Linked DNA regions of Macaca mulatta. The protein of the gene in region 4 purifies or fractionates together with the protein of the main gene of each other region. This does not show direct contact. Links are inferred from orthologs where the notes say so. Each region holds a gene or a part of one and is shown on either strand. Other genes may lie near its edges. The genes, in order: CREBBP, PPARG, STAT3, SP1, RELA, RB1 and SMARCA4.

Region 1 (2,648 bases), on a different chromosome or scaffold from region 4:
TCCTGCCAGAAGATGAAGCGGGTGGTGCAGCACACCAAGGGCTGCAAGCGCAAGACCAATGGGGGCTGCCCGGTGTGCAAGCAGCTCATCGCCCTCTGCTGCTACCACGCCAAGCACTGCCAAGAAAACAAATGCCCCGTGCCCTTCTGCCTCAACATTAAACACAAGCTCCGCCAGCAGCAGATCCAGCACCGCCTGCAGCAGGCCCAGCTCATGCGCCGGCGGATGGCCACCATGAACACCCGCAACGTGCCTCAGCAGAGTCTGCCTTCTCCTACCTCAGCACCGCCCGGGACCCCCACGCAACAGCCCAGCACGCCCCAGACGCCGCAGCCCCCCGCCCAGCCCCAACCCTCACCCGTGAGCATGTCACCAGCTGGCTTCCCCAGCGTGGCCCGGACTCAGCCCCCCACCACGGTGTCCACAGGGAAGCCTACCAGCCAGGTGCCGGCCCCCCCGCCCCCGGCCCAGCCCCCTCCTGCAGCGGTGGAAGCGGCTCGGCAGATCGAGCGTGAGGCCCAGCAGCAGCAGCATCTGTACCGGGTGAACATCAACAACGGCATGCCCCCAGGGCGCACGGGCATGGGGACCCCGGGGAGCCAGATGGCCCCCGTGAGTCTGAATGTGCCCCGACCCAACCAGGTGAGCGGGCCCGTCATGCCCAGCATGCCTCCCGGGCAGTGGCAGCAGGCACCCCTTCCCCAGCAGCAGCCCATGCCAGGCTTGCCCAGGCCTGTGATATCCATGCAGGCCCAGGCGGCCGTGGCTGGGCCCCGGATGCCCAGCGTGCAGCCGCCCAGGAGCATCTCACCCAGCGCTCTCCAAGACCTGCTGCGGACCCTGAAGTCGCCCAGCTCCCCTCAGCAGCAACAGCAGGTGCTGAACATTCTCAAATCAAACCCGCAGCTAATGGCAGCTTTTATTAAACAGCGCACAGCCAAGTACGTGGCCAATCAGCCTGGCATGCAGCCCCAGCCTGGCCTCCAGTCCCAGCCCGGCATGCAACCCCAGCCTGGCATGCACCAGCAGCCCAGCCTGCAGAACCTGAATGCCATGCAGGCTGGTGTGCCGCGGCCCGGTGTGCCTCCACAGCAGCAGGCGATGGGAGGCCTGAACCCCCAGGGCCAGGCCTTGAACATCATGAACCCAGGACACAACCCCAACATGGCGAGTATGAATCCACAGTACCGAGAAATGCTACGGAGGCAGTTGCTGCAGCAGCAGCAGCAGCAGCAGCAGCAACAGCAGCAACAGCAGCAGCAGCAGCAAGGGAGTGCCGGCATGGCTGGGGGCATGGCGGGGCACGGCCAGTTCCAGCAGCCTCAAGGACCCGGAGGCTACCCACCAGCCATGCAGCAGCAGCAGCGCATGCAGCAGCATCTGCCCCTCCAGGGCAGCTCCATGGGCCAGATGGCGGCTCAGATGGGACAGCTTGGCCAGATGGGGCAGCCGGGGCTGGGGGCAGACAGCACCCCCAACATCCAGCAAGCCCTGCAGCAGCGGATTCTGCAGCAACAGCAGATGAAGCAGCAGATTGGGTCCCCAGGCCAGCCAAACCCCATGAGCCCCCAGCAACACATGCTCTCAGGACAGCCACAGGCCTCGCATCTCCCTGGCCAGCAGATCGCCACATCCCTTAGTAACCAGGTGCGGTCTCCAGCCCCTGTCCAGTCTCCACGGCCCCAGTCCCAGCCTCCACATTCCAGCCCATCACCACGGATACAGCCCCAGCCTTCGCCACACCACGTCTCACCCCAGACTGGTTCCCCCCACCCCGGACTTGCAGTCACCATGGCCAGCTCCATAGATCAGGGACACTTGGGGAACCCCGAACAGAGTGCAATGCTCCCCCAGCTGAACACCCCCAGCAGGAGCGCGCTGTCCAGCGAACTGTCCCTGGTCGGGGACACCACGGGGGACACGCTAGAGAAGTTTGTGGAGGGCTTGTAGCATTGTGAGAGCATCACTTTTTTTCCCTTTCATGTTCTTGGACCTTTTGTACTGAAAATCCAGGCATCTAGGTTTTTTTTATTCCTAGATGGAACTGCGACTGCCAAGCCATGGAAGGGTGGATTGATGTTTAAAGAGACAATACAAAGAATATATTTTTTTGTTAAAAACCAGTTGATTTAAATATCTGGTCTCTTTCTTTTTGGTTTTTTTTTTTTCTTTTTTGGGGGGGGGTTCTTTTTTTTTCCGTTTTGTTTTTGTTTGGGGGGAGGGGGGTTTTGTTTGGATTCTTTTTGTCGTCATTGCTGGTGACTCATGCCTTTTTTTAACGGGAAAAACAAGTTCATTATATTCATATTTTTTATTTGTATTTTCAAGACTTTAAACATTTATGTTTAAAAGTAAGAAGAAAAATAATATTCAGAACTGATTCCTGAAATAATGCAAGCTTATAATGTATCCCGATAACTTTCTGATGTTTCGGGAAGATTTTTTTCTATAGTGAACTCTGTGGGCGTCTCCCAGTATTACCCCTGGACGATAGGAATTGACTCCGGCGTGCACACACACGTACACACACCCACACACATCTATCTATACATAATGGCTGAAGCCAAACTTGTCTTGCAGATGTAGAAATTGTTGCTTTGTTTCTCTGATAAAACTGGTTTTAGACAAAAAATAGGGATGATCACTCT
Region 2 (3,428 bases), on a different chromosome or scaffold from region 4:
AGACTTGATTAAAAAACCGAAAGTTATGTTTTTTTAAAAAAGCAAAAACTAGATAAACCTTTGACAAATCAGATTTTTTTTTTTTTTTTTTTTGAGATGGAGTCTTGCTCTGTCGCCCAGGCTGGAGTGCAGTGGCCAGATCTCAGCTCACTGCAAGCTCCGCCTCCCGGGTTCCTGCCATTCTCTGGCCAAATCAGATTTTTTTAATGAGAGAATGCACAAATAAAGAGCTCTAAGAGCTGGGCACAGTGGCTCATGCCTATGTTCCCAGCACTTTGGGAGGCTGAGGCAGGAGGATTGGTTGAGGCCAGAAGTTCAAGACCAGTCTGGGCTATGTAGCAAGACCCCACCTCTACAAAAAATTTAGAAATTAGTTGGGTGTGGTGGCTCATGCCTATAGTCCCAGCTACTTGGGAGGCTAAAGCAGGAGGATCACCTGAACCCAGGAGTTGGAGGCTGCAGTGAGCCATGATCATGCCACTGCACTGGGCAACAGATTAAGACTCTGTCTCAAAAAAAAGAAAAGAAAAAGCATTAAGTTAAGATTAAGTTAAGGGGCATGAATAAATACATTTCATATTCTAAGACAATATCATCTACAACTTTATTCCAATATAAATTACTAAAACTTTACCATATAAGTAGTAGAAAGCCTGAATAGATAAAAACTATGGAAGAAAAATTAAAGATAATGATAGATTTATCATTAAGCTCAGATGGTTCTGCAAACAAATTCTAAGAAACCGTCAGGGAACAGATCATTACTATGTCGACACAGAAGGCAAACTTCTCAACTCAGTGTATAAGGCTAGTTAACATTGTTACTAAAACAGGCAAAGAATGGCCCCCAAAATAATTCTAAATCAGTACCACCTACAAGTACAAAAACCCTATAATAAAATATTAGCAAGTGACTACAAGGGTATAAGGAACTCTGTTAATGTAATTCACTGTGCTAGGTTAAGATAAAACCATAACTCTTCAAGATATCATAGCTCTTTAGATAGAGAAATGTAAAAGCATTTGATAAAAATTCAACAACATTCCTGACTAAAACAAATTAAAATTTTTAAACCCCTGGATAAGCCAGGAGTAAAACATGTCCTCCATAATCTATAGCAAACATCATAGTTGCTGATAAACCATTAGAAGCATTTCCTTCAAAGTTAGGAATAAAACAAGAATTGCTGCTATTATTTAATCCCATATTGGAGGTTTTAGCCAACACACTATGGCAAGAAGAGGAAATGAGAAAGGTTAATGATGCAAAAGAAGAAATAAATAGCTACCATTGCTGATACAATTATCTATCCAAAAAAAGTAGAAATCCATGATTAAAAGCTATTCGAACTGACAAAAGTTCAGGAAATTGGAATCGTTTCAATATACTAAAATCAATTAGTTTTCTACACATCAGCGGGGATATATTAGATGTAATGAAAATGAAGGGTCCATTCACAATAGAAGCTATAAAGTATTTGAGAATAAATCTAACAAGATCTACATAAAGAAAAAAGTAAAATATTTAAAAGGTATTTAAGTTCACCATTTGCAAATTGAACTAAAGAAAAAATCTAAAGAAGAACTAGTGAAAATTGCTTGCAATCTTGCCACTCAAAAGAAACCTCTGTTAAAATGTATCAGTATTTTAAAACTGTGTTTTGTCGTTTGGAAATACGCCATATTAAGCAAACACAGCATAAGCAAATCAAGCAAAAAGACAAGCCTTTTTTTAAAAGCATATTTGTGAAAAGAGCATATTTGAAGCTATGATAAGAAACTGAGTAGAATCTATAAAACATGGATTCATCAGGAAGGAGCAGAAGTTGAAAAGATTTCTGGCTGGGCGTGGTGGCTCATGCCTGTAATCCCAGCACTTTGGGAGGCCAAGGCGGGTGGATCACTTGAGGTCAGGAGTTTGAGACAAGCGTGGCCAACATGGTGAAACCCCATCTCTACTAAAAATACAAAAATTAGAAAGGCGTGGTGGTGAGCGCCTATCATCCCAGCTACTCAGGAGGCTGAGGCAGGAGAATAGCTTGATCCCGGGAGGCATAGGTTGTAGTGAGCTGAGGTCGTGCCACTGCACTCCAGCCTGCACTCCAGCCAGACAGAGCAAGACTCCATCTCAAAAAAAAAAAAAAGGAAAAAGGAAATTTCTGAGTAGAAACATGTTAGCAGAGGAAACTTAATTTGGGGAATGAAATTGTTTTGATGCCACGCTCCATCAGCTGACCACACAGATTCCATCCTGGCCAGAAAAAGCCCCTGCAAAGACCTCTGATTATTTTGGTTCTGATTACATCCTCAGTTCTCACCCATTATCTGCTTGCCCTTGCTCCCCACCTATTTAAGATACAAAGCAAAACAAACCAAAACCACGGATGAGTTGCTTGGTAGAGCTCCCTAGGCCTCCGAGGCGGGGCCCAGAGGATTTTTTGACTGAACCCCGTGTTGTGTTTTCCATTTGTGCTTCCCCAGATCGCCCAGGTTTGCTGAATGTGAAGCCCATTGAAGACATTCAAGACAACCTGCTACAAGCCCTGGAGCTCCAGCTGAAGCTGAACCACCCTGAGTCCTCGCAGCTGTTTGCCAAGCTGCTCCAGAAAATGACAGACCTCAGACAGATTGTCACGGAACACGTGCAGCTACTGCAGGTGATCAAGAAGACGGAGACAGACATGAGTCTTCACCCGCTCCTGCAGGAGATCTACAAGGACTTGTACTAGCAGAGAGTCCTGAGCCGCTGCCAACATTTCCCTTCTTCCAGTTGCACTATTCTGAGGGAAAATCTGACACCTAAGAAATTTACTGTGAAAAAGCATTTTAAAAAGAAACGGTTTTAGAATATGATCTATTTTATGCATATTGTTTATAAAGACACATTTACAATTTACTTTTAATATTAAAAATTACCATATTATGAAATTGCTGATAGTATTTCATTTACTGAGTCTTGTGTGTTTCCCACCCTAGCCCCTGGGCTTTCTTTTTTCCCCCTTTTCCTTCTTCCCTCGATCCCTCCCTCCCTCCCTTCCTCCCTCCCTCCCTTCCTTCCTCCCTCCCTCCCTCGCACCCTTCCTCCCTTCCTTCCTTCCTTTCCTTCTTCCTTTATTTTTCTTTTCTTTCTTAGACATTTTAAAATATGTGAGTGGAACTGCTGATACACTTCCATTCTCAGTAAATTAATTTTTTACTCAATTTACAACTTTTCGGAACTCTACATCTGCTTTAACAATCAGAACTAAGAAGGGAAGGGGAACTACAGAATCAGACGGCTCAGAGCATGTGTTTTGTAGCCTGGATATGCTGATATGCAGTATATCCCTGGGCTTACCCAGAATTCAGTCTTCTTCCACAATCCTAACCGAGATTTTCACTCACCACCAGCAGCCTATTCATATACTACCTGCTAATCAATGCCACTG
Region 3 (3,500 bases), on a different chromosome or scaffold from region 4:
TCCAACATCTGTCAGATGCCAAATGCCTGGGCGTCCATCCTGTGGTACAACATGCTGACCAACAACCCCAAGGTTAGTACCCCCTCCTTTTAGTTGGTACCCCGGGATCTCTTGCGATGTATGGGTACCTAGTACAGACAATGAGCACCATCCCTCATCTAAACAAGCAAATGTGTTCTTTCCAATAGAACGTAAACTTTTTTACCAAGCCCCCAATCGGAACCTGGGATCAAGTGGCCGAGGTCCTGAGCTGGCAGTTCTCCTCCACCACCAAGCGAGGACTGAGCATCGAGCAGCTGACTACACTGGCGGAGAAACTCTTGGGTCTGCGTTTAACCCCTTCTCCCTCCCGCCTGCCCAGAAAAGGGATCCGGCCCACAGGGCTATTCATTTGGGTCATGTCTACTGAGCGTTAGGCCATGTTTCTTTCCTGAGCAAGGTGCTGTGCTGGTGCCAGGAAACAGGGGCTCCATCGAGTTGGGGAGTTGGGGTACAGAGACAGTTTGCAGTTTTCAGTCGAGGTGATCATTTTTGAGGTGGGAGGTGGATTTCTTTTCTCCTGGTTGCTGTCTCATTCACCCACTCCAACTAACCTTAGAAGATCTTTTAAATGTGTGTTGGAAGGTGGCACTAAAGGCTTGACATTCCCTGTCTATTTCTTTAATAAACTACAGGCTAGGTTTTTTTTGTTTTTTTTGTTTTTTTTTTTTTGAGAGACAAGTCTCGCTCTGTTGCCCAGGCTGGAGTGCAGTGGTGCGATCTCGGCCCACTGCGACCTCTGCCTCCCCTGGGTTCAAGCAATTCTCCTGCCTCAGCCTCCCAAGTAGCTGAGACTACAGGCGCCCACCACCACGCCAAGCTAATTTCTGTATTTTTAGTAGAGATGGGGTTTTACCATGTTGGCCAGGATGATCTCCATCTCTTCACCTCGTGATCCGCCCACCTCGGCCTCCCAAATTGCTGGGATTACAGGTGTGAGCCGCCATGCCCGGCCTAGGCTAGGTTTTTAAAAAATAATTAGTGGAGGCCAGGCGTGGTAGCTCACGCCTGTAATCCCAGCACTTTGGGAGGCCAAGGTGGGTGGATCATGAGGTCAGGAGATCAAGACCATCCTGGCTAACACAGTGAAACCCCGTCTCTACTAAAAATACAAAAAATTAGCCAGGCGTGGTGGCGAGTGCCTGTAGTCCCAGCTACTCAGGAGGCTGAGGCAGGAAAATGGCGAGAACCCAAGAAGTGGAGCTTGCAGTGAGCCGAGATTGCACCACTGCACTCCAGGGTGGGCGACAGAGCGAGATTCCGTCTCAAAAAAAAAAATAATAATTAGTGGAATATTTTATGTGCTACCTGGGCTAGAAGTAGCTTTGTCCTAATAAAGCTGTTGCCACCAAATACACCTGTCTGACACCTGATGTCAGCTTGTTAGTGCTGCTGCTGGTCCCCAGCCCGCCACCCGAGGCTGGGAAGAGCAGGGGGACTTGTTACATCACCCCCTATCCGTGCTGGGCTACCCAACAACAAAAGTGGGTCAAATGATGGGGTAGTGTTTGTCCTCGTGTGTGCACACACACAACGGTGGCCACGTTCAAAGATGTGAAAGCCAATGATTTTGTGGCCCATTGTGGGACCAATGTGTGTGTGTTCTGCTTTAAGAAATAACCTCTTGACCCCAAGCGGAAAATGTACTAGTTGATTCTTTTTCTTTTCCTTCAGGACCTGGCGTGAATTATTCAGGGTGTCAGATCACATGGGCTAAATTTTGCAAAGTAAGCAATCTTGTAAAATTCTCGTGGGAATGGGAATGCCTACCTGCACGGCTGTCGTGGAGGGCTCTGGCTTGAAGGCCCTGAACTCTTGGTCCAGCAGCCAGTAGGACCTGCCTGAGGGTAGATGGGCCTGAGGAGTTGGGTGGTGCACTGTGCCCCTAGGAAGGGAAAGGCTGGGATGGCAGCAGACTTGGCTTTCCCATTACTCTTTTCTGCAGGAAAACATGGCTGGCAAGGGCTTCTCCTTCTGGGTCTGGCTGGACAATATCATTGACCTTGTGAAAAAGTACATCCTGGCCCTTTGGAATGAAGGGTAGGTTGGACAGAGTGTGCACAGATGTAACCAAGTCCCCTGCTCTCAGCAAGCCAGTGGCAGGGGATGGATGCCCTGTTAGCAGTAACAACACTGTTCCTCCTCCTTGGCTCCAGGTACATCATGGGCTTTATCAGTAAGGAGCGGGAGCGGGCCATCTTGAGCACCAAGCCTCCAGGCACCTTTCTGCTAAGATTCAGTGAAAGCAGCAAAGAAGGCGGCGTCACTTTCACTTGGGTGGAGAAGGACATCAGTGGTAAGGGAGGCTCCCACCCACCCCACCTGCTGGCGGCTGCTGAGGCCTCATCACCGCTGCTAGTTCCAAGCACCTACTGCCCCCTTGTGGTGGAGATGGCACCGACTCCCTGCCTCACTCAGACTCGCAAAACACATTTGGGTGACTTCTAAATCCTTCTAGCTGAAGGATTGATTTGTCTTTGTTTTGCTTGCTCCAGTGACTATTTGTTGAGAAATTTGCAATTTAAGTTGTATTCTTCATCCCTTTTTCTACTTAGTCCTGTTAATATATCTTACACAAGTAGTTACATTCAAGTTTATTTTCTATGACCCAACTGGTAGCCTCTTCTAAATTAGAAGCCAGCCTGAACATTTCCACCGTGCCAGGCCACTCACTGAACAGTGTGTTCAGGGTCTCAACACTAGGGTGGCTTAAGTTTTTTCCCCTTCGAGAAAAGAAAAAATGGGCAGTTTTCTCTGAGATGACCTAGCTGTAGGTTCCATGATCTTTCCTTCCCATGTCCCGTGACAGGTAAGACCCAGATCCAGTCCGTGGAACCATACACCAAGCAGCAGTTGAACAACATGTCATTTGCTGAAATCATCATGGGCTATAAGATCATGGATGCTACCAATATTCTGGTGTCTCCGCTGGTCTATCTCTACCCTGACATTCCCAAGGAGGAGGCATTCGGAAAGTATTGTCGGCCAGAGAGCCAGGAGCATCCTGAAGCTGACCCAGGTAGTTGTTGATTTTCCATGTTCCTGGCATTTAATTTTTGGGAAAAGTTAGAAATTTGGGGATCCTTGGAGGATAGATAGGCAAATGCCTGAATAACCTGGGGGATCATTATTTCTCCTTATGGGAAAGAACTGTAGTGAGTGCTTTTGTTGGGGTGACCGATGGGATTTGAGAGGAGAATCAGAATCAGTTAGACTAGTGCAGTTCCTGCTCCACAGAGAGTGCATGAGTCTAAAGAGGGGATACAGCTTGGACAACAAAAAATACAAAAAAATTACCCGGTGTGGTGGCACGCATCTGTAGTCATAGCTGCTTGGGAGGCTGAGGTGGGAGGATCACCTGAGCCGAGGAGTTCAAGGCTGTAGTGAGCGGTGATCGTGCCACTGCACTCCAGCCTGGCTGATAGAGTGAGACACTGTGTCAAAAAATACAAATAAAGAGG
Region 4 (4,070 bases):
ACTATCTTGCTTTATGCATAGGCGGTATTTACTATTAACTCGGAAAAATGGAAGTGACTTATCCGCACTTTAGCCTCAAAGCTTGAAAAGTTAACCAGTCGTAAGTGGTTAGCGCCTTTGTCTGGCGGAACTTAACAAAATGGCGTTTTCTGGAATCTTACGGAGACTCTGCATATTGGTCAGCTCAGTATTAACTTATTTGGTGAGCGCTGTCCCCAAATCCCGTTCCGGCTGCACTCGCAGGGCTTGCAGCGACATTGAGGTATCTGCCCGCCTGTCCGCCCACCCGGGAAACGGGTAAGATTTGAGAGGTACTTTATAGGGGCAGTTAAATGAAGACTCAAACAAATCCTAGTGTTGATGCGGAACTGCGCGCCGAATGCCTTGGCTCTGACACCTGTTGAGCTGCAAGACTTCACTAAAGCGTCCCACCTAATGACTGTAACAACGTCCCCTGAGGTGGGCCAATATGGCGACGGTCTCCTCTTGGCACAGCCCTCTTCCCTCCCTCATGATGGGCGGCTCCGGTAACGCCCATTGGCCAACTAGGAGGCGGTGCCAGGCTTACTTCGTTCCCTCATTGGATTGAATAACTTAGGGAGCCGCCAATTCTCCTCTGCCACTCCAAGTTTCCGCCCTCAGAGTTAATCTGGCGTTTAATTGGCTTTTAATTCACGTCAATATGCGTCCTTTCCTGTCTTTTTTCAGTCTTAATCCAATCATAACTTTCCTGGCTGCCCGCCTGATTTCTGATTGGTTTTAATCAGCTTCAGCCTATCCTATTCCTGTCTACTTCTTACCTCTCCTCCCACTAGGATTTTGCCCAAGCATATCCCGGATTCTAGTTGGCCGTTGTTCTGTCATTCCTATCAAACCTTTCCCTATCCCAATGTCTCAGGGAGCCCGCCTGCCGGTTGACTGGTTTCCTTCCAAGCCAATAATCCCCAGCTCCCGCCCATCTTCACTTCCTGCATCTTTCATTGGCTTTTAACACTGAGAGGGCTGTCTTTTTGGGCGGACACCAGGCACGCAACTTAGTCTTACACGCCTTAGAGAGCAAGCGAGTCTTGCCATTGGAAAACCTCACCGTCTTTCTTCTGCAAGTCCCACCTTTCCCCCTCCCTCATTGGGCGGGGCAGCAGAGAAGGGGCGGGGCATAGGTTGGGCTGGTGGCGCGCTGCTCCCTCCTCCTCACCCCCCCCTCCCTGTCCGGTCCGGGTTCGCTTGCCTCGTCAGCGTCCGCGTTTTTCCCGGCCCCCCCCAACCCCCCCGGACAGGACCCCCTTGAGCTTGTCCCTCAGCTGCCACCATGAGCGGTAAGGATGAGTCCACTCCAAGCTTAGGGGTGGGAGGCGAGTGAGGGGGCGCGCGCGAGGGCCGACCGGGCGATCCCCGCCGTGAGGGGGGGCGGGCGGGAGGCGGCGGCGGCGGCCTAGGTCCCGCCCGGGGCGGAGGGAAGGGAGGGAGACGGGGCAGTGGCTGGGCCTCCGAGGAGGAGGGGGATGGGCCGCCCGCCCCGGGGGAGGGGGCAGCGTGGCCTCGCCCGCCCCCTGCCCGCCCCGGCCACGGGGGACGGGCCTTACCCCCCACTACTCGGCCGCCCGCCTGAGGCTCCTCCCGCCGGGGGCTGGAGCCGCGGGGGCGGCCCGAGCAGTGAAGGCCCCGCCCGGGCCAACCGCTTGTCTGGTCCGTCCTCTGGTCGCCGCCTGCTCCGGCGCCCTCCTCCCCCCACTTTCCGTAGATTTCCCTTCCCCCCGCCCCACCGTCCCGCCCTTTCCACGCCCCTCACCCCGAAACCGCCCTTTCCCTCAGGGCCCGCCCTCCGCCCCGAAACCTCCTGACTACTAACCAGTACACCCCTTTAGTTCCTTAGTAGTATTCACAAATGTTTTCCTACTAAAACTTTTTATTTCTTTTTCCCTTCTCCTCTTGTTACTTTTAATACTTGGGTTTTTGTTTATCTCTCTCTTTTTTTTTTGAGAGGGAGTTTCGCTCTTGTCGCCCAGGCTGGAGTGCAATGGTGCGATCTCGGCTCACTGCTACCTCCCGGATTCAAGCGATTCTCCTGCCTCAGCCTCCGGGAGTAGCTGGGATTACAGGCATGCGCCACCACACACGGCTAATTTTGTATTTTTAGTGGGGACGGGGTTTCTCCTTGTTGGTCAGGCTGGTCTCAAACTCCTGACCCCAGGTGATCCTCCTGCCTCAGCGTCTCAAAGTACTGGGATTACAGGCATGACCACCGCGCCTGGCCTCTCCATCTCTTTTAACCTTAATTTTAGCAATCTTTCCATCCACCCACATATTGTTTTTTGCCTTACTTGTCCTTTTTTCCCTTAGGATACTTTTTCTTATTTTGAAACTCTTTCAGCATGACTACCATCCTTCACATTTCCTATCCCCAAAGCACTTTTTGAATGTTTTCTTAGTTAATTTTGTGTAAGGGAGAATTGAGGCCCACTTTTGGCACCATTGAGCCTAGTTCATGTCCTGCATGCCCTGCAGCTCCCCTCTGCCCTCCAATCCATTTTCTTTATACTGGCGCCTTTCGCCTTCCTGTTAGTCATTGCTATTTCATCATAGCCTCCTTTTATCCTTCCTACCTCATCTCTTTTCTTCCCTCAAGTTTAAGTTGTTTGTTTTTTAATTGTTTTAGACCAAGATCACTCCATGGATGAAATGACAGCTGTGGTGAAGATTGAAAAAGGAGTTGGTGGCAATAATGGGGGCAGTGGTAATGGTGGTGGTGCCTTTTCACAGGCTCGAAGTAGCAGCACAGGCAGTAGCAGCAGCAGTGGAGGAGGAGGAGGGCAGGTAAGTGATAATAATAGAGTGGGGAAGATGTTGAGAGGATGTAAATATTCTTAGATAATTGCCTTACTCTTCATAGAAAGCTTTTTAGGGAGCTTATCAAAACCATTTTATAGATAAGAAGTAAGAGTATGGAGATCCCCAAAGACAGGAGTTTCAGCAATACAGATAGGTCAGCTTTTTGTTTCTGTTTTTTGCTCCTTGTCTGCACTACGTTGCTGTTTATTTGTTGTATACTGCCCCCTAGGCTGGCAGCTGGGTGTCACTAACTCCTTTCCTCTCCCTTATTTTTGGCCAGGAGTCCCAGCCATCCCCTTTGGCTCTGCTGGCAGCAACTTGCAGCAGAATTGAGTCACCCAATGAGAACAGCAACAACTCCCAGGGCCCGAGTCAGTCAGGGGGAACAGGTGAGCTTGACCTCACAGCCACACAACTTTCACAGGGTGCCAATGGCTGGCAGATCATCTCTTCCTCCTCTGGGGCTACCCCTACCTCAAAGGAACAGAGTGGCAGCAGTACCAATGGCAGCAATGGCAGTGAGTCTTCCAAGAATCGCACAGTCTCTGGTGGGCAGTATGTTGTGGCTGCCACTCCCAACTTACAGAACCAGCAAGTTCTGACAGGACTACCTGGAGTGATGCCTAATATTCAGTATCAAGTAATCCCACAGTTCCAGACCGTTGATGGGCAACAGCTGCAGTTTGCTGCCACTGGGGCCCAAGTGCAGCAGGATGGTTCTGGTCAAATACAGATCATACCAGGTGCAAACCAACAGATTATCACAAATCGAGGAAGTGGAGGCAACATCATTGCTGCTATGCCAAATCTACTCCAGCAGGCTGTCCCCCTCCAAGGCCTGGCTAATAATGTACTCTCAGGACAGACTCAGTATGTGACCAATGTACCAGTGGCCCTGAATGGGAACATCACCTTGCTACCTGTCAACAGCGTTTCTGCAGCTACCTTGACTCCCAGCTCTCAGGCAGTCACCATCAGCAGCTCTGGGTCCCAGGAGAGCGGCTCACAGCCTGTCACCTCAGGGACTACCATCAGTTCTGCCAGCTTGGTGTCATCACAAGCCAGTTCCAGCTCCTTTTTTACCAATGCCAATAGCTACTCAACTACTACTACCACCAGCAACATGGGAATTATGAACTTTACTACCAGTGGATCATCAGGGACCAACTCTCAAGGCCAGACACCCCAGAGGGTCAGTGGGCTACAGGGGTCTGATGCTCTGAACATCCAGCAAAACCAGA
Region 5 (3,992 bases), on a different chromosome or scaffold from region 4:
TTGGCCCCTTTAAATCCCAGCTACTTGGGAGGCTGAGGGAGGAGAATCACTTGAACCCGGGAGGTGGAGGTTGCAGTGAGCTGAATGCCACTGCACTCCAGCCTGGACGACAGAGCGAGACTTCATCTCAAAAAAAAAAAGTTCAAAACTAAGGAAAACCAAACAATATATTGTGTAGGCATGCAGATATGAGTAATTTTTTTTTTTTTAATACAGAATTCTGGCCCAGGCGTGGTGGCTCATGCCTGTAATTCCACTTTGGGAGGCTGAGGTGTGAGTATCGCTTGAGCCCAGGAGTTTGAGACCAGCCTGGGCAACACAGCAAGACCCATCTCTAGTTATAATTAATTAATTAATTTAAGAAAATACAGAATTCTGGCCCAGCGTGGTGACTCATTCCTGTAATCCCAGCACTTTGTGAGGCCAAGGTGGAAGGAAAGTTGAGCTCAGGAGTTCAAGGACAGCCTAGACAACAAGGTTAAACCACTTCTCTACAAAAAAATACAAAAACTTAGCCAGGCATGGTGGTGTGCTCCCATAGTCCCAGCTATGCAGGAGGCTGAAGTGGGAGGATTGCTTGATCCTAGGTGGTAGAGGCTGCAGTGAGCCAAGACTGTGCCACTACACTCCAGCCTGGGCGACAGAGCGCGAGCCTGTCTCAAAAAATAAATACATACAATACAATACAATACAACGCAGAATTCTGCACGGTGGTGGTCCCTTAAGTTTTGCAATGGGTACACGGGTGTTTATGGTATTAATTTAAAAGTTATAAATATACATGAATTTTAAGAAGAGGATCCATGCAAGGTTTAATGATAATTGTATGTCATCCATTCGCTCAACTGAAGTCGGCCTTCCCCGCCCCCTGCCAAAAGTAAACACTTTTCTAATCAGGGCCAGCCACTGGAGAAACTGAAATGAGTGGGCGGGGTGCTAACTCTATTTTCACTTTTCTCTTCCTGTTTCTTCAGAGCCTGGGAAACAAGTCAGAATTTCCAGTCTTTTCCAATTCCCACATGATTTCCTAATTCAAGACGAATTCAGAGAAAATAAGTCTTTCTCCATCTGGAGAAGACTCCGCCCCCTGGAGCATCCTCCTTCGGGGATGAGGCCTGAGGTGGGGCTGCGCCAGCCCCAGCCCCCACAAGGACGCGCCTTGGGCTTGGTCTTGGGGGAGCTACCCGCACTGTGGGGTCACATGACAGAATTAGTGGTCAGCCCTAGCTGGAGGTCCAGGGCAAACACAGGCGGGGGCAGTGGGGTTGGGGGTTGTGGCCCTGCTGATTCGAGTGTCCCCTGTGGGTTCCGGACCTTCTGAGATACAAGCGCCAGGCTTCAGAGACGAAGCTCCGGGGTTTACCCCTGGGGACCCCCTGCTCCTGCAGCCGCTGAGGGCCGGCAGTTTGGCTGCATAGTAAGCTGGCGCTTTAGCTGGAGAGGGACGAGCTCTCGGCCAGCTCGCCAGCGGGAGGGCCTCAAGTTGTCCCATCCGGGCTGCAGGCTCCGCAAAGCTCCCTGATGCACTGTCAGAGGGGGAGGTCCGGCCGCTCCCCTTCCCCTACAGCCGCATCTAGAGTGGGGTAGGTTGGACATTTTAACGTGCTTCTGAGACAGTCACCACCGAAAGGCACCTTTAGCGATGAGGAAACCGGCGTGGAGTTCAACCACCCGGCCTCTGCGGAGCAGAAGGCCCGACTGGGCCTTTCCCTGCGCGGGGCGGGCGGCCGCAGCCCCGTAGCCCGGGCTTTGCTCCAGACCCGGCCCAGAGTGACATCACCAAACTCCGCCGATCGGTGGGAGGGGGCCCTGAAATCCCCTAAAAACAAAGTGAGTAATCGGCGGACCCGCCCTCCAGGCGGGGCCGGGACCCGGGAGCTAGCCGAACCACCGGGCACACCAGCCTCTTCGTCTCCGGCGACGCGCGCACTTGGCCCCGGCCCCCGGCAGCGGCTGTGCGCGCGGCCTCTTCGTCCTCCGCGCGGCGCGCACTTGCTCCCGGCCCCTTCGCCGGGCGGCGGCGGGGCAGCGCGCAGGCGCGGCCGGATTCCGGGCAGTGACGCGACGGCGGGCGCGCGCGGCGCATTTCCGCCTCTGGCGAATGGCTCGGCTGTAGTGCACGCCGCGGGCCCAGCTGCGACCCCGGCCCCGCCCCCGGGACCCCGGCCATGGACGGTGAGGTCGCCCTCTGACCCCGCGGGGTGGCCGCGCCGGGACCGCCCCGGCTGTGGCGGGAGGCCCCGCGCCGCTTTCCGCCCCTTCCTGCGCCGACTGGCGCTGCGCAGGGAGCGGTCGGCCTGCCGGATGGTGGCGCGGGGCGGGGCAGGCGGGGAGGGGTCTGACTCAGTTTCCCCTCTGGGTGGAGGGGGGCCCTTGACTCAGCATCCTCCCTGGGTGGGGGAGCAGAGGGAGCCTTGACTCAGTTTCCCTCCACACCGTCCATGGGGGCAGCTCTGGCTTCGTTTCCCTATTAGGGGAGAACGCATCTGATTCAGTTTCCTCTCTGGATGGAGGTGGGGCGTGCCCTCCCTCAGTTTTCCTTATGAAAGTACAACAGGCCCTGATTCGGCTTCCCTCGGGAGAAGGATTCCTTACCCCGTTTTCCCTCAAGAAGCAGGTGTTTCTGGTTCCTTTCCTCCACTCCTTAGTTTCACCGCAGGTTCTAGGAAGCAGGTCCTTACTCAGTTCCCCTGGGAGGGAGCCTGGCTTCTCTTCTCTGTGGAGAGCAGATACTCCCTTGTGAGGATGGGCAGTGGGTGTGTGCTGACCCTGATCTCCCTCCCCTTTCAGAACTGTTCCCCCTCATCTTCCCGGCAGGTAAGTGGCCCCCGCAGCAGTCCGGGAGGTGTTCCCTGGGGTAGGGCAGCGGGGGCAGCTGTCTAATGGGCCTGCGGTGTCCCCTGGCAGAGCCAGCCCAGGCCTCTGGCCCTTATGTGGAGATCATTGAGCAGCCCAAGCAGCGGGGCATGCGCTTCCGCTACAAGTGCGAGGGGCGCTCCGCGGGCAGCATCCCAGGCGAGAGGAGCACAGATACCACCAAGACCCACCCCACCATCAAGGTCAGCACTGCACCAGGGTGTGCGGGGAAGGGACTGTGGAACCCCAGCCCTCTGTGTTTGGGAGTCAGGTTTGGATGTCTGGGCCTCTGTACTTTGGACAGATCAATGGCTACACAGGACCAGGGACAGTACGCATCTCCCTAGTCACCAAGGACCCTCCTCACCGGCCTCACCCCCACGAGCTTGTAGGAAAGGACTGCCGGGATGGCTTCTATGAGGCTGAGCTCTGCCCGGACCGCTGCATCCACAGGTGAGCTCCCTGCAGGCTAGGAGGCCCAGCATGAGGGAACAGGAGGCGGGCTATGAAGTAGCCGCTACAGTGTTACTCCTTTCTGGACACAGGGCAGAGTTGCTTACTTCTTGCTCTGACTCAGCTCTGCAAGTAAACTCTCTTTGTCTTGAAATGATCTATTTGTACCTCTACTCTAGCACAGATAAGAGCTCCAAGGGATATGGATGGGTCCCTAATCACTTCTGAATCCCTGACCCCTGTAGCTGGAAGGACAAGTCCCTTGGAGTCATGTCTCTTGTTTGAGAAAGAAAACCACTGAACCAACACTCTCCCCTGGAGGTGACATTGCAGTTGACAGAAACAGGCCTTAAAAAAATATACAGGCCAGGCATAGTGGCTCATGCTTATAATTCTAGCACTTCCGGAGGCCAAGGCAGGAAGATCTCTTGAGCCTGGGAGTTCAAGACTAACCAAGGCAACATAGTGAGACCCTATCTCTACAAAAAAATAAGAAATTAGCTGGGTATGGTGACTTGTGCCTATAGTCCCAGCTACTTGGGAGGCTGATGTGGGAGGATCACCTGAGCCCAGGAGGTCACCGCTATGGCAAGCTATGATTACACCACGACACTTGGGTAGCAGAGCGACACCTTGTCGTGTTTTTTTTTTTTTTTTGAGACGGAGTCTTGCTCTGTCCCCAG
Region 6 (3,500 bases), on a different chromosome or scaffold from region 4:
ATACTTTATCCCTGTAATAGGCAGGTATTTGTAATAAACTTGACATGAGTCATAGAACATTAGATATTCTTTGAAGTTATTTGTATTAGTTTATAGGAAAAGCCAATATAAATGCAGCCTTGCAAATAAATAATAAAAATGTTCAGTATAAACACATTTTGTGTTTCTGGTTTACCTTCCCTTTAGAGAAATAGTAGTAGTAAAATATACTTGGTATGACATATTTCATATTGTTTTGTGGAAAGTGAGTTGTGGGATATTTTTCCCATTTATTATTGGAGTTTTCAAAAGTAATACAAACCAAGTCATTTTTGTTTGTATGTTTGAAGTTATTTTCTAAATTCAATCATTTTAATTGTATATATCAGAGGCATCTGATATAACCTCTGTGTTTTTACCTAAAATTTGAGTGAAATCTATCACTAAAATATAGTGCCTTTACTAAATGTCTACTTCTTGCAATTGAGTAATGCATACTTAAACCCTTATAGATTGGGGGGAATACCAGGAGGTACAGGCCAGAGAATGTAGTCCAAATATTGATACATAATGTTATTGGCTTTCGCTCAGCTCTGGCCCTTTGATTCCCTTTGATCATGCTTTCCATTCTACTAGCCTGTCTACTCCTGTCTTCTTAGATGGCCAGCTATTCCATCTGCTGCTGCCTGGCTATTTCTCTCAATCATTCTGTGACATTTCACTTCTCGGAGAGCAGCTATAATCCAAGCCTAAGAAGTAATTTTAGATTATTTTTTTCTTTTATAATATGTGCTTCTTATCAGTCAAAAAGTATTATAAACTATTAGAAAAGAAAATCTAAAGGTAGAAATTTTAAAATTCATTTAACAAGTAAATTTTACTTTTTTTTTTTTCTACTGTTCTTTCTCAGACATTCAAACGTGTTTTGATCAAAGAAGAGGAGTATGATTCTATTATAGTATTCTATAACTCGGTCTTCATGCAGAGACTGAAAACAAATATTTTGCAGTATGCTTCCACCAGGGTAGGTCGAAAGTATCCTTTGACTGGAAAAATCTAATGTAATGGGTCCACCAAAACATTAAATAAATGGTCTACTTTTCTGTTTTTGCTCTAGCCCCCTACCTTGTCACCAATACCTCACATTCCTCGAAGTCCTTACAAGTTTCCTAGTTCGCCCTTACGGATTCCTGGAGGGAACATCTATATTTCACCCCTGAAGAGTCCATATAAAATTTCAGAAGGTCTGCCAACACCAACGAAAATGACTCCAAGATCAAGGTGTGTGTTTTCTCTTTATGGAAGTAGTAAAGAATGAGAGGGCGATTATTTTGATCCAAGAATAAAAAATATAAAGCTTTCTTCATTTCAAATAAGCTAGACTCTTGAAACTCTATTTGCTTATTTAAGTAACATAATAAGAATATGGAGAGAAAGAAAATCTATTTACTTGGATGAGTTTACACATTTACTTATCAGATTTCCTGACTGTTAGGGTATCTTCTTTTGTAAACAATTTGAGAACCAGTTTGGTTATATGTTTCAAAACACTTTCATATTTTTCTAAGTAGCCAATCTGCTAAACAAAGCAGGTTACTTTAGGTTGAGTACTTTTAGTTTGTAGTTTATTGGATGTCCTGTAAATTTTGCTTCCTGTGGATTTTGTTCATTTTGCTTGTTATATTAAATGTAGATTACTGTCAATTAAGTCTTTAGAGGTCCATCCCTAATCCTGCTGGCGGCCACTTTACCACTTTACCTTGGGCAGGTCTCTATCTGTACTTCACAAGGGTGCTGTGGATCAGGGAAATGATGAGTATGAAGCTGTTTTAAATGCTCAGATGAAAGGTTGTGTGCAACTACAAATCATTATATTATCTTCCACATCCAACCACAAGTGCTCTCTGGCTTTGAAGTGCTTCAATTGACTAATTATATGTTATCACGGGCTATTTGAAACTGACTTTATTTGTGTAAAGTAGGAGGCAGATTAGCTAGTATAGTTAATGTAGTCTCATCTCAGAAATTATCAGCCCATATGGTTGTACCTAATGGGCAAGAAAAGGGGAATATGTTGGCCTTTCAGAAAACATTTGCATGGTATATTTAATTATTTAAGTAGTACGTACTCATTATAAAAATTTCAAACTCTACAGAAAAATATGAAGTGAGAAATAATTGGCAATATGATACAAATGCTCTCATGTGCCTCTGTATCATCCTTTATTTATTTGGTGTTCTTGTAGTTGGATATCTGTGTACTGATACCTACTACTTGTTCTAAGCTGCTAAGATGCCACGTCATGTCTATTTAAGAAAATTTACATTGTTCCATGCCACTATATGAAAATGTATACTTAGGTAGTTTTCTTTAATAGTGATAATTAGTCCATATTATGGTGATAATGATGGCTACTTGCTGATCCTTAGTGAAATAAATTCTGTGTTGGTATTCTTTAGCAAGAAAGTCACATTCTGAACATCCTAACTAATAAATCATTGACCAGGCATTAGGAGAGCATCTTAACACTACCTGGTACATTTAGGTGTTCTGGTTAATCAAATATTATATGTAGAATGATGGCCACTTATCAAGGAATTAGAGGACAAAAAATTCTCTATATTCACTAGTTCCGTGTTCATGTTTTCAAATCTTTGTTGAGTCATGTCAGTCTAATGATGTTCTTCAGATTTATTATCAAGAACATAAATTATATGGTTCAAATAAAGACAGACTAATAAAGATTTCTGACTCCATATATGATATATGATAGCCTTTACTATATCAATATAGAGGCTAATTAGAATTCTGATTATTACTTAATATTGTAAGTTTTTTCCAAATATTACTTGAATTTTAAATGAGAAAATATGAAAGAAATTTGATAACTTACCCATTGATTTACGAAGAACTCAGTAGGGGTAAACTTGAAACTTTCCTTTGCCCTCCCTAAATATGGGCAATAGCAGAATATGTTCTTGCAGACTTATAACTTTTGCTGTAAAACTAAGAGACTAGGTGAGTATATGATTAAATGGGCACTGTTACAATAATTCCCAAATGAATATAGTTTGTCAGTAGTTCTAGGGTAGAGGTAACCTTTAATTTAGTATTCCTAATAGTTCAGAATGATGTATCTATGCTCGTCTCTGCAAAATTGTATATGATTTTTTATTACTAATTGGCATTTCATCTTAACTTGACAGAATCTTAGTATCAATTGGTGAATCATTTGGGGTGAGTATTTTCTTTCTATGAAATATAATAGTATGCATTGTAAGTATAAAAGAAATTAAAGCTTTCAATAATTCGAGTTTCTAAATGTAATTATTCAAACACCTCATCCAGGCATATTGCATAGAAATTTATTTTTTTTATATATATATATATATATATATATATATAAAATACTCCTAATCTCAAATCATACTCCTAATTGGTGAACTTCAAAACTTTTCTAAATATTCATTTGAGGTTATATAATACATATATACATTTGTGTATATACATACATATATAC
Region 7 (3,500 bases), on a different chromosome or scaffold from region 4:
TCCGTCTCAAAGGAAAAAAAAACAAAACCGCGTCACAGGCCTGTGTGTGTGGTTGTCGCTGGGGAATGTTCCGGAAGCTACAAGAAAGCACATGTGCAGGCCACGTGTGGTGGCTCACACCTGTAATCCCAGCACTTTGGGAAGCCGAAGTGGGCTGATCACCTGAGGTCAGGAGTTTGAGACCAGTCTGACCGACATGGAGAAACCCTGTCTCTACTAAAAGTACAAAATTAGCCTGGCATGGTGGCGCACGCCTGTAATCCCAGTGACTCCAGAGGCTGAGGCAGGAGAATCGCCTGAACCTGGGAGGTGGAGGTTGCAGTGAGCTGAGATTGCGCCATTACACTCCAGCTTGGGCAATGAGCGAAACTCCGTCTCAAAAAAAAAAAAAAAAAAAAAAGTGCAAGAAATAGGTCCTGAGCCAAGTTTGAATTTCTCATCCTCTCTGTCCTCAATGTGGGGACCTGCTGAGGTGGAGTAGGGGCTCCCAGGTGGGCGGGCCGAGGGGTGACGCCTGCCGGTTCTGCCTTGCAGCAGCAGTGGACGTCAGCTCAGTGAGGTCTTCATCCAGCTGCCCTCGCGGAAGGAGCTGCCGGAGTACTACGAGCTCATCCGCAAGCCCGTGGACTTCAAGAAGATAAAGGTAACACTGACGCTGTGCCTGTGCCGTGCATCTGCCCGCGGGAGGAGTCTGACCCAGGGGCACCCCCATCCGAGAGCTGTGGTGTGTGGGCGGAATGACCAGAAACTGCCTGGGCAGAGCCTTGGGATGCCTGGTTAGGGACCTGGTCGTGGGCTTTTGGGGTTCCTTGTAAGGGTTGGGGGTGTCCTGTGGGATGTCAGTGAGCAGTTGGTGTTGGGTGTTCCTTCAAGGTCCTGCTCACTCAGTGCTGGGCCTCAGTCATGCAGTTCCCATGCCTGGTGGGCCGGGTTACCAAGGCTGGGGCTTCAGCCACATCCTCATAGGCGCGAGGAATCCTGGCCCGCGGGGTCCCCAGCACACAGCGGGACCTGCGGGCAGGCGAGGCGGGGTCCTGAGGTAAGACCTGCTCCTCCCGTCCATTGCAGGAGCGCATCCGCAACCACAAATACCGCAGCCTCAACGACCTAGAGAAGGACGTCATGCTGCTGTGCCAGAACGCTCAGACCTTCAACCTGGAGGGCTCCCTGGTGAGGGCACGGCTGGGGGATGGGGATGGGCCACTCCCACAGCTGGGCTTTGAACCAACCCGCCCCTGCTTCCTTTCTGAATTGATGGGTTAAAAACAATTCCCGCTAGCTGTGGTGGTTCGTGCCTATAATCCCAGCACTTTGGAAGGCCAAGGCGGGAGGATCACTTGGGGCCAGGAGTTCAAGACCAGCCTGGGCAATGTAACAAGACCCTGTCTTTAAAAAAAAAAAAAAAAAATTTAAATTTCCAACAACTTGGGATATTTTAGCAATTACAAAAGCAGTACGTATTTACCAAAGAAAATAAAGATAGGCACAACAGAAGAAATAGACTCAGAGTCCTCTGTCTGTTGGAATTTTGTTTTAAATTCCCTGGGGCACACTCTCTTCAGAGGAATCCTATGGGTGTGTTCTTTCCTGTGATAGAATTGACACATACACAGCCTCAACTTGGCAAACTTTTCTTAAGTGTGTTTGGGATTGATGCCTCTCAGAAAAAATACTTGACTTGGATGCGTTTGGGGAAGATGCTGGCTTCAACAAGGGACATGCATTTCTAATGTTATTGCAGACCTCAGAGATTCTGCAGAAGGAGGGAGGCACCTGCAGCCATTTCCAAACCAGTGTGCCTGACCTTTCACCCCGGAGCATTTCAGAAGCCTGATGCTCTCTGGGGTACCTGTGGAGGAAGATCATGGAGAGGGCCTTCCACCCTGGGTGGGCTGAAGCCCCGACCCACTGAGGCTCGCACTGGCCACTGATCAGCTGTCCAGGGACAACACAGGGCTGGGGCTGGGGCTGGGGCTGGGGCTGGGGCCAGGGCCGGGCAGGCAACCCTCCAGTCAGGCCCATCCACTCAAGCCCCTGGTGTCTCCGCCCAGATCTATGAAGATTCCATCGTCTTGCAGTCAGTCTTCACCAGCGTGCGGCAGAAAATTGAGAAGGAGGATGACAGTGAAGGCGAGGAGAGTGAGGAGGAGGAAGAGGGCGAGGAGGAAGGCTCCGAATCTGAGTGTGAGTCCCGGGGGGGGTTCAGGATGCCGGGGTTCACGCTGGCCCAAGAGCCCCCAAGGTCACAGCTTTTCACAGCCCTCCCAGCTCCCAGACACCCCTTGCTGTGAGGGTGCTGCATTCCCAGAGCTCAAGGCTGTCTTTCCCTCGTGGTCCCCTCTAGCTCGGTCTGTCAAAGTGAAGATCAAGCTTGGCCGGAAGGAGAAAGCACAGGACCGGCTGAAGGGCGGCCGGCGGCGACCGAGCCGAGGGTCCCGAGCCAAGCCGGTCGTAAGTGATGACGACAGTGAGGAGGAACAAGAGGAGGTGAGGTCGGGCCCCCGAGCAGGCAGGGCTGGTGGGTGGCGGGAGGCATCCCAGGGCCCTGATAGGATAGCCCTGCGGGGCAGTGCTCTTACTCCCCCATGCTGCAGGTAGGGAAACTGAGGCTTGACCTGCCGTGGCTGACCCCAGGTCACACAGCCAATATGTGGCAGGGCTGCCACTGAAACCCAAGCCTGTGTGACCCTGGAACCAACTCTTAGTACCCGTGGGTGTCTAGGGACTGGGGGACATATGAGGTCTCAGGACAGGCAACAGGCGGTCCCATGGCACCAGGGCTGCTGGGCTGAGGCCGGGGAGGCCAGGGCTTGAGTAGGGTCGAGTGGGAGGTGCTAGGATTGGGGACCAACCAGGCAGTGCCTTGTCTCCTCAGTGTTGTAGAGAATGGGCAGAAATGCCAAACCCACAGTGGATAGTTTTTGGGGGACAGTAGGAAGCCTGAGCAGATCCACTTGCTGGCTTTAAATAATCTTCACCTTTGTCTCTGGCCCTTCTGGCTGTGGGACCTGGCAGGTCACTTTGCTTCTCAAGCTTCAGTTTCCTCTTATGCAAAGCAAGGAGGCTCCATGGATGAGGGAACTGCCCCCACTCAGGCCTGGCTCCCACTGAAGTCTGGTGAATGCCATTTTGTCAGCACAGAAGCAGCAAATTTCAGTGCCTGGAAATCAGTCTGACAAAAGAGGCATGTGACCTTTGAGGACATTCATGAAGTCCTCATGGGGAGGGGTGGCCTTCCAGGCAGGAGGGCCATGGGCTGTGATGGTGTGTCTCTTGCCCAAGCCAGAGCAGGGTGTTTTATGGCCCATGCCAGGCTGTTTAAAAATTTTTTTTTTTTTTTTTTTTTTTGAGACGGAGTCTCGCTCTGTCACCCAGGCTGGAGTGCAGTGGCCGGATCTCAGCTCACTGCAAGCTCCGCCTCCCGGGTTTACGCCATTCTCCTGCCTCAGCCTCCCGAGTAGCTGGGACTACAGGCGCCTGCCACCTCGCCCGGCTAAGTT

The links.
Region 1: the proteins of SP1 (region 4) and CREBBP purify together in Homo sapiens (affinity purification with western blotting; 5 studies listed by BioGRID, with this or other methods). This does not show direct contact. The link is inferred for Macaca mulatta from reciprocal best matches to the Homo sapiens genes SP1 and CREBBP.
Region 2: the proteins of SP1 (region 4) and PPARG purify together in Homo sapiens (affinity purification with western blotting; 3 studies listed by BioGRID). This does not show direct contact. The link is inferred for Macaca mulatta from reciprocal best matches to the Homo sapiens genes SP1 and PPARG.
Region 3: the proteins of SP1 (region 4) and STAT3 purify together in Homo sapiens (affinity purification with western blotting; 4 studies listed by BioGRID and IntAct, with this or other methods). This does not show direct contact. The link is inferred for Macaca mulatta from reciprocal best matches to the Homo sapiens genes SP1 and STAT3.
Region 5: the proteins of SP1 (region 4) and RELA purify together in Homo sapiens (affinity purification with western blotting; 7 studies listed by BioGRID and IntAct, with this or other methods). This does not show direct contact. The link is inferred for Macaca mulatta from reciprocal best matches to the Homo sapiens genes SP1 and RELA.
Region 6: the proteins of SP1 (region 4) and RB1 purify together in Homo sapiens (affinity purification with western blotting; 3 studies listed by BioGRID). This does not show direct contact. The link is inferred for Macaca mulatta from reciprocal best matches to the Homo sapiens genes SP1 and RB1.
Region 7: the proteins of SP1 (region 4) and SMARCA4 purify together in Homo sapiens (affinity purification with western blotting; 3 studies listed by BioGRID and IntAct, with this or other methods). This does not show direct contact. The link is inferred for Macaca mulatta from reciprocal best matches to the Homo sapiens genes SP1 and SMARCA4.

What each region holds. Positions count from the first base shown.
Region 1 is NC_133425.1:4,948,303-4,950,950, reverse strand, and holds the end of CREBBP (CREB-binding protein), read left to right. Parts: coding exon 1-1,950; 3' UTR 1,951-2,148; downstream 2,149-2,648. UniProt on the Homo sapiens protein: Acetylates histones, giving a specific tag for transcriptional activation. Mediates acetylation of histone H3 at 'Lys-18' and 'Lys-27' (H3K18ac and H3K27ac, respectively).
Region 2 is NC_133407.1:151,249,918-151,253,345, forward strand, and holds the end of PPARG (peroxisome proliferator-activated receptor gamma), read left to right. Parts: intron 1-2,481; coding exon 2,482-2,729; 3' UTR 2,730-2,928; downstream 2,929-3,428. UniProt on the Homo sapiens protein: Nuclear receptor that binds peroxisome proliferators such as hypolipidemic drugs and fatty acids.
Region 3 is NC_133421.1:66,665,884-66,669,383, reverse strand, and holds part of STAT3 (signal transducer and activator of transcription 3), read left to right. Parts: coding exon 1-72; intron 73-188; coding exon 189-324; intron 325-1,713; coding exon 1,714-1,766; intron 1,767-1,984; coding exon 1,985-2,079; intron 2,080-2,195; coding exon 2,196-2,335; exon of another isoform or gene 2,336-2,421; intron 2,422-2,813; exon of another isoform or gene 2,814-2,848; coding exon 2,849-3,061; intron 3,062-3,500. UniProt on the Homo sapiens protein: Signal transducer and transcription activator that mediates cellular responses to interleukins, KITLG/SCF, LEP and other growth factors. Once activated, recruits coactivators, such as NCOA1 or MED1, to the promoter region of the target gene.
Region 4 is NC_133416.1:60,526,017-60,530,086, forward strand, and holds the start of SP1 (transcription factor Sp1), read left to right. Parts: upstream 1-1,270; 5' UTR 1,271-1,309; coding exon 1,310-1,316; intron 1,317-1,820; exon of another isoform or gene 1,821-2,017; coding exon of another isoform or gene 2,018-2,099; intron 2,100-2,656; coding exon 2,657-2,814; intron 2,815-3,109; coding exon 3,110-4,070. UniProt on the Homo sapiens protein: Transcription factor that can activate or repress transcription in response to physiological and pathological stimuli.
Region 5 is NC_133419.1:8,727,088-8,731,079, forward strand, and holds the start of RELA (transcription factor p65), read left to right. Parts: upstream 1-1,192; 5' UTR 1,193-1,521; coding exon 1,522-1,583; exon of another isoform or gene 1,584-1,830; intron 1,831-2,055; exon of another isoform or gene 2,056-2,168; coding exon of another isoform or gene 2,169-2,175; exon of another isoform or gene 2,176-2,201; intron 2,202-2,648; exon of another isoform or gene 2,649-2,790; coding exon of another isoform or gene 2,791-2,817; intron 2,818-2,875; coding exon 2,876-3,059; intron 3,060-3,127; coding exon of another isoform or gene 3,128-3,160; coding exon 3,161-3,309; intron 3,310-3,992. UniProt on the Homo sapiens protein: NF-kappa-B is a pleiotropic transcription factor present in almost all cell types and is the endpoint of a series of signal transduction events that are initiated by a vast array of stimuli related to many biological processes such as inflammation, immunity, differentiation, cell growth, tumorigenesis and apoptosis.
Region 6 is NC_133422.1:27,657,672-27,661,171, forward strand, and holds part of RB1 (retinoblastoma-associated protein), read left to right. Parts: intron 1-889; coding exon 890-1,003; intron 1,004-1,096; coding exon 1,097-1,260; intron 1,261-2,873; exon of another isoform or gene 2,874-3,005; intron 3,006-3,186; coding exon 3,187-3,217; intron 3,218-3,500. UniProt on the Homo sapiens protein: Tumor suppressor that is a key regulator of the G1/S transition of the cell cycle. The hypophosphorylated form binds transcription regulators of the E2F family, preventing transcription of E2F-responsive genes.
Region 7 is NC_133424.1:11,797,205-11,800,704, forward strand, and holds part of SMARCA4 (SWI/SNF-related matrix-associated actin-dependent regulator of chromatin subfamily A member 4), read left to right. Parts: intron 1-534; coding exon 535-643; intron 644-1,068; coding exon 1,069-1,170; intron 1,171-2,051; coding exon 2,052-2,184; intron 2,185-2,344; coding exon 2,345-2,487; intron 2,488-3,500. UniProt on the Homo sapiens protein: ATPase involved in transcriptional activation and repression of select genes by chromatin remodeling (alteration of DNA-nucleosome topology).